2 linked regions of the Caenorhabditis elegans genome follow. The protein of the gene in region 1 purifies or fractionates together with the protein of each later gene. This does not show direct contact. Each region holds a gene or a part of one and is shown on either strand. Other genes may lie near its edges.

What was found. The genes of interacting proteins can lie anywhere in the genome.
Region 2: the proteins of nhl-2 (region 1) and F13H8.11 fractionate together in Caenorhabditis elegans (co-fractionation; one large-scale study listed by BioGRID). This does not show direct contact.

Annotation. Positions count from the first base shown.
Region 1 is NC_003281.10:4,897,066-4,900,819, forward strand, and holds the start of nhl-2 (B box-type domain-containing protein), read right to left. Parts: upstream 2,021-3,754; 5' UTR 1,893-2,020; coding exon 1,771-1,892; intron 1,466-1,770; coding exon 1,120-1,465; intron 1,021-1,119; coding exon 484-1,020; intron 425-483; coding exon 1-424. Other genes in the region: tag-340 (START domain-containing protein), read left to right, coding at 3,693-3,754.
Region 2 is NC_003280.10:6,257,820-6,261,573, forward strand, and holds the start of F13H8.11 (Lipase_GDSL domain-containing protein), read right to left. Parts: upstream 2,203-3,754; 5' UTR 2,137-2,202; coding exon 2,001-2,136; intron 1,953-2,000; coding exon 1,719-1,952; intron 1,671-1,718; coding exon 1,438-1,670; intron 1,381-1,437; coding exon 1,220-1,380; intron 1,175-1,219; coding exon 684-1,174; intron 207-683; coding exon 79-206; 3' UTR 1-78. Other genes in the region: nmgp-1 (Neuronal Membrane GlycoProtein), read left to right, coding at 3,403-3,592, 3,640-3,704, 3,750-3,754.

The sequences.
Region 1 (3,754 bases):
TAGCTGCTGAGCTAGATCTTCCACCTCCTGGTTGAGAACCTCCTCTTTCACTTCTATCAGTTGATGCTGCAGTTGCATTTCCAACGTCTTTAACAGTTGGCTGAATCACTCGTCCGATAACTGTTCCAGTTAGTTGATGCACAAAATGATCAATTTGTTTTTTCGATGGAGTATAAAACTCAAGTTCCACTTGGTGTCCATGAGATGGAATAGCATGAGACAAGTTTCCAAATTGTTGAATAACTTTTTTCCTCGAAACAACCAACTCGAGACCATTTCCTTTGGTAAGAAGTCGGCGAGTGAAGTTGATGGCATCATGTACTCGTGCTTCGTTAACTTGTGATTTACGGTACATTTCATCAATGTTAGACTCTTGACGGATTCGCGCCTCTTCGAGATCGTTCACGCTTTTTTGATAGGCCTCCTGAAATTTTAATATATTTTTCCCTTTAACTCCAAAACATTTAAATTTTGATGCCCTACCTCAATAGAATTGCGTAACTCCTCATAATGTTTATCAACTCGATACTTCGCAATCTCATACTGTTCATTCAACTGTTGAGACTTGTCTGGAAGGCTATTCATATCAGCCACAGAATTGTTATATTTCTTTTCGACACGATCCACAGTACTTGTCACATCTTCCCTTATAGCATTGATCACAAGCTCGTTGATATCAATGATTTTATGATTCAAATGATCAACTTCCAGGCATTGCTTACAAGCCGCTGTTTCACATGCTGCACACAAATATCTCATATGCTGATTATGAGTGGAGCACATGACTTGACGAAGTTCTGGATGGGCTCCAGGCTGCCGAAGATCAGCAAATGTGGTTACAGTGTGACCTTGGAAAAGGTTCATGACAGTATGAGCAGTTGTGCAGTTTTCGCATAAATCTGAAGAGCATTGATCACAGAATGCGATGGCTTCTTGTTCGGATTTGCAGGCAGTACATGGTTTGCGATGGTGGGCAACCATTTTCTCAACTTCAACTTCCTTCATTTCGGCAAGACGAACCTGGAAATATTATATTGAAAACATTGAATCCAAGTTTAGTAATGTTTTTGGTAGATCAAAAGACCAAAATACTATGTTTCAGAAAAAAATTCAACTTACAAAATCCAGGAGCATGGCATGAACATATCGAACATCATTTCCAACATGCGATTCTTGTGAACAAATTGGACATCGGATTACGCCAGGAGGTGTTGGTCGTTCTTTAACTTTCGGTGTTTCCAATTCACAATCCAACATTGCTGCAGTCGCTCGTTTCTTCTCTTCAATGGCAGCTGACTTTGCTTGAAGGTGTCCATCAAGTTGAGCAATAATACAATCTTCGCACATTGAATGAAGACAATCAAGAACTCGCGGTTTACGGAAATCTTGTTGACAGTATGGACATGAAGCATGATCATCTTCTGGTAGTGGTTCTGTGCCAAATAGAGGTGATGATGACGTTGATCTGAAACTATTTGGATTATTTATTTATCAGGAAAAATTAGTGTTTAAAGATGTAATATACTAACAATGGCCTAAAAAAGACCGACTTTCATAACCAAATTCATCAAAAAAAAAATTCAAAATTTGTAGTTGCAGTTCAAGAAATTTCAGAAAAATTGTTTTATTTTGGCTGAAAATTTGATTTTGCCAATTAAAAGATTTAAAAAACAATAAATAATCGATACGGAAAAAACAAAATTAGAGGTTTTAGTTGAAATTAAGAATTTTAATGTTTTTTTTTAACTTATGTAATTCATGATAGCTTACCTCAGTGGATCTTGTCCATTCAAACTGGGCGTTCCACTATTTTGTGTGTTATTTGTGGACGTAGCGGGCGATTCATGCCTACCATTCACCGCCGAAGTCGGCCGATCTGCCGCTTTTTTCATCTTCACGGAATGAACGTTCGACACTTTTCAATCTTCTTATCCGGGTGCTTTTTGTTATTAACAAGCACACAAATACAGAATAAGAGAATATTAAAGTATCAGGGACACTCTTGGAGTGTAAACTGAAATGAAAAATGATTATAAGAAGTTAATTGGGTTTAAGAGTAGTAAGAAATTCGAGTTTCACAGAAAATACATTCAAAAGAATAATAAAAAAATCAAGGAAGGCGTCTAAAGTTTCGGAAAATCAGTGAACTATTCGAACTCTAATAAGAATTACAACAAAAACGAACACCTAAATACAAAAAAAAACAAAATATTTGTTGGTTTGAACAACACAACGTTCAGTTTCAGCGTTTCTTTCAATGTCATAAGACTTATTCCACCTGACCAGAAAATTGTTAGGTTCTACAAAAAAAGAATCACGCGCAGACGAATAAGATACAGAAAAAATGAAACGGAAGAAGAGATAATCAAGAAAAAACAAAGTACTTATGGCATTCAATGTTCTAAATATTCTGCAATGCAATACTAAACAAAAAGCGAGCGCAGGGAATGTTTAAATGCAAGTGTTGTAAACGAAAATTGTTGATTTTAACAGAAAATTTTTAATTTTTAAATAAAAAATGAAGAATTTAAAAAAATTCAAAAGTTTTAAAACAAAATAATGCACTTTGGATGCCATTTTCTTCAGAATTTCACGATAAAACATTGAAATTTATTAGAAAAGCAGAAAGCTGAAATCAAATTCTACCTGTTACTGAAAAATCAATTTGCAAAATTCGAAAAAATGACGTCATTTCGACGAAAAAGAGCAATTACTAGCGCACTTTTGCACGAGACGCGTGCAGACAGTGGCGAGAGAGTATGCAGAATGAAGAGAGTAGTCATAGACTGGGACACCGCTTTCTGTATCGTCTCACACGCATGACACACACTTTCGCGGCCGCTACGCAGAGAAACCGCCTACTTGGCATCGTGCCAGCTGCACTTTCACCACCTCGAGGGTATTTGTTGGCTGAATGCCAAGTGGGCGGAGTGAGGGGCGTGAGGAAAACTGCAAAAGTGCGGCAGGGAAATTCGACGATTTTTTCGGAAGCGGTTGGTGGATGACCATTCGCATGATCATTCAGATGACAAACACTCTATTGGAAATTTTTTTCCGAATTTACATAAAAAAGAATTTAAAATCTTTTTACAATAGTAACGTATCAAGTTAAAAACTTTATCAGACGCTAATTAGGCTTCATAGGAATTTTGTTTACTTTTTTCGCATTTTAGCCAACGAAATCGATACGAGCAGGTTTTTGAAAGGCGCTTCCACTAATAAAGAGTTGCAATTTGACTAAATTAATATTTATTTAAATATATTTTACCAGTTCAACAGAAATAAATACTCAAAAGGGAACAATTTTTTAATAAAAAGCAAGGATTTATTCAAAAAGAATTTGTCCAAGAGGAGTTCTGAAATTCACAGTACCAATTTCGTTGCGGGACCTTTTCAATGGAAAAAGCTATGCTCCTTTAAAATTTCACAGGTACTGTAAAGTTTTAAAGAAATTGTTTTCCTTTTTCGATGAGATTCTATTTTTTGACGCCTTATCAGTTTGACCTCTTTCTTGATATCAGTTGTCTCATTCGTGCATCAATATTCAAAATTGCCTCACCAACTACTTCTTACCTTACTTTTTCAGCTCCAGAGGATACTGAAAAGTGATTTTCATTTGATTACCCTTACTTAAGTTTTAAAATTCCCAATATTTCAGATTAAAAAAGAATGGAAAACATCGAAAAAAGGTCATGAGCGGACGTCAACCACTAATTTCCCCCGGATCTCAAAGAATCGGAGTGAGCAAAGACAG
Region 2 (3,754 bases), on another chromosome or scaffold:
TAAAAAGTGGAAATCTAGACGTTCTCATCGTTCACGCAACTGTCTCATCAAGTGGCATGAGTACATTTTAGAAACCATTTAGAAAATGTTGTCATTGAGGTCGGCACGCAGCGGAAGAAGTAGATGATGTCGTTCATCGGAAAACTCGGAAGACGTCGTAGAACTGCGGATGGAAGCACGAACAAATAGGAGTATTAGAGCGGTACCTAGGAACAAAATATTTTCGGTTTATATAAAAAGTTGAATAATGCTAAGACATATTTTTAGTCATAAGTGACAGAATATCTACCTGCCTACATCTATGCCTTTTTTCTTGAACTTTAGCTTGAACTCAGGTGTTAGATTTTTTCACCGTGCAGAGTATTTTTGATATATTTTTAAACCGTTTTTCTTATAGTATGTTTACATAATCTTCAAAAGTGAAAAAGTTCAAATTTGGTAGTACACAAGACGCAGGCGTAGGTGCCTTGAGGGCAGGCAATTAGCGTCTAGCGTTTTTGAGAAAATATGTTTATTGGTGCCCCTTTATTTTATATCTCTTATCTCTGAAAAAGCGAAAACGGAAACTTTCTCCCAATGAAAATATTTGAAAAGTGGTTTTATTGATTATTATAGCAGCTGCTTTTAATCTAAGCCGCCTCACAAAAAAATAAGCAACGTATTTTTTCCCAGACCAAACTCACCAAAAAGGAAAAATACAGGAATCATGTATGGAGGCATGCTTAAACCAGGAGAGCTTGCAAAAGCTGAAGGAACTCGGAGAAATCTCATTTCTCTTGATGGCTCACAGTTTTCAGAGTTTTGAATCGTTCTTAGGTACGGACATTCAACAGGAGGACACACGAATCTATCGAATCCAACTGATAATTGATTAGTGATTGTTTTTTGATCAATTGGTTCGAACAATCCTTTCCAAATTTGTTTCGCAGCAATATCATGAGCAATTGGAGAAAGATGGAAGCAATCGAGTGCCAATAGTCCAATATTCGGCTGGTTTTTAAGTAACGGAATTGATTTTAGATCCATGGCTGGAGCAATCACAACAGCAAATGTAGATGAATTTCCATATTTTTGATTGAATTGTTCTACAACTTCATTCAATTGTTCATCGAATTGTTTCTTGATGTTTTGATATTCTTTTTCATTTAATTCAAAAATACACGAGCATGTTTTTCTGTAATTATATGTTTAATTTTTTTTTTAATTTTGAAAAACAAACCTATGTGAAAACTCGCAGAACTTACTCAACTTGTGAGCTTGTGAGTGAATTTTGACATTTATTGGTGGCATTATGTTAACGAATACCTTTGGAACATTTGTTTGAATTATTGTAAGTGCCGAGTGAAGTGACTTTCCAAATGTTTCAGGCCCGAAGGTAGTCTGAAATATTTTTTAATGGAAATGAAAATTAGCTCCGATGTGAAATGGTTATTTTACCTCATTATTGCAAATGTTACACAAGTCATTATGACCGATGAAAATATTAACGAATTTCCATGTATCAGATGTTTCTCTACCCAGCTTTTTCTTCAATGTACTTGCTAATTTGAGCGCTTGTTCGGGAAGCTCCGAGCTGAATGAGCCAGGAATCGCCATGTTAAAGTCGTAAAACTTTTGAACAAAATCAGAGGATCCTCCTTTTATTCGCGGTGCAAATTTACGGAAAATATCTGAAAAGCTTCTGTTGCAAGTAAGTGAAAGTCAAAACGAATTATTACTAATAAAGGTGGCTTGCTCATTCAGCTTTACATCATCTCCTGTTACAAACGAAACACCAGGAAACTGATCAAATAAATCGAGAATTGACGATGATTTCGCCGCTTGTGCAACTGACACAGAATCGCCTAGTGCTGCTATCACTCCAATTTGTGATGGATGAAGCTGATGTACAGATTCGGAAGATTTTCGATGAGGTTGGGGACAATTGAAGTTTGGAAAGCCCATTGGGTACTCTGTAACACGGAACTTGAAGGGTTAGATGGAACGATTAATAAACTAACCCATTGAATCCATAAACGCATTTCTAGTTTCTTTCCACTGATTGAATACTTCCACAGATGTTTCGATAATTTCATTAGGAGGTGAAATAATAGAATTAACTTCCACAAACGCCAAAAAAAGGAAAAACCGTGCCATTTTCAAGAAGAACGCTGCAGAAAAATGAGGTAACATGTATGTTAAAGTTAAATCGTTTTTCAGAATGATAAGATAGTCTGTTTTCCAATTTACACCGTAGGACATAGATAAGAGGGCGAGCAAATTGGTAAAAAAGGGGACAAACAAGTTTGTGTAGTCTGTGTTTATATGTATTTCGTTTTTGCAAATTGTGAAGTAAACTGAGCACAAACACCAACTCATTTATTTAGCGCTCAAATTCTACTGCGAATAATATTTGATATTAGTACATAAGTCTCAATAAGCTTTTCTCAAACTCAAAAGGGCTTGCGAGAGGTGATGAAAACGAGGTCATCTACAGTTAATGCCACCTAAAAATGCTCAAAAAATCAATTGTGAAGACCGCGTTCAGGCTGTGTGATAGATAAACCCATGTCACCATATATGAAAAAGTTAAGAAGTTCTTTGAAAAAAAGAACTCCTGAATATAATTTTAACAAAATTTAACCATTTCTCAGAAAACAGTAACCTGTATATATTCATATTTCCACTTTCAAAAAAATTCTCAATGTATATCCGGTTGGCAGGTGCCGCTGAAAAGTGTTCAATGAAACGGCAGCAGACTCCTTTGTATTCTTCAACTCTTTTTCCCAGATGTTCATGATTGCAGCTCATCGTACATCACAATTGCATGCACATTCATTTTAAAATGTGTGTGTTTCCTACTGATTCAATAAATTGAAAATAACACCACAAGTCACCCAGAGGAAATGTAAAATTGCGTCATACATGAGTTGTTCCAACTTTCAAATGGCACCTTGCGACATTCTCATCGAAGATCATGCAAACATGACTCACCATCATCTTCTCCTCTTTCTGCTTTCCTCCGCTAAAACTGACCATCCGTGGCGAGCTGTCTGCGTCTCAATATTTAAATTTGTTCCCAACCCACTATCTCACCTTTCCGCGTCCGTTTCCAATTTCGATCGCAATACAAACAAACACACTCATACATACCTTTTTGTTGCCCCGGTGCCCGCTTGCACTTGCTTATTACAATTATTCCACGGCTACATTTGTTTCTTATTTTTCATCTGAAATAATATTTTTCAAACTGTCAAAATAGTGTCAAGATCAACGAAAGAGGCGGCGCAAAGACGTTCGCAGAACGCCGCCGTCGTTCATTTGAATGCGGACGCAGAAGAAGATGACTGTTTTCATCGAATACCATATGCATCACTTATTGGATCATTATTATGCATTCTTGGAGTTATTCTCTTTGCAATTATGATGTCCTGGGCATTTAATGCAACTGCAGAGCAAGTCAGAAGATCTCTGAAAATAAATGATTGGCCATGGCTTGACAAGGTTCAAGTTTTCTTTATTGTAATCGCAGTTTTAATGGGACTATTCTCACTTTTCTTCTTATGCATCGGATTTACTGCAACTGGAGGAACAAGAGAAACTATGTATAAAGGTTCAAAATGACAATGATCTAGGAGAACTTATGTACAATATTTTCAGACGATGAAGCTCGCTGTGGTGGAAAATTTGCATGCGTCATCGCAATGTTGATCGATTTCTTTCTAGTAAGAATTGCTCAGTAAACGTATAATTTTAAAACTAACTTTCAGATAAT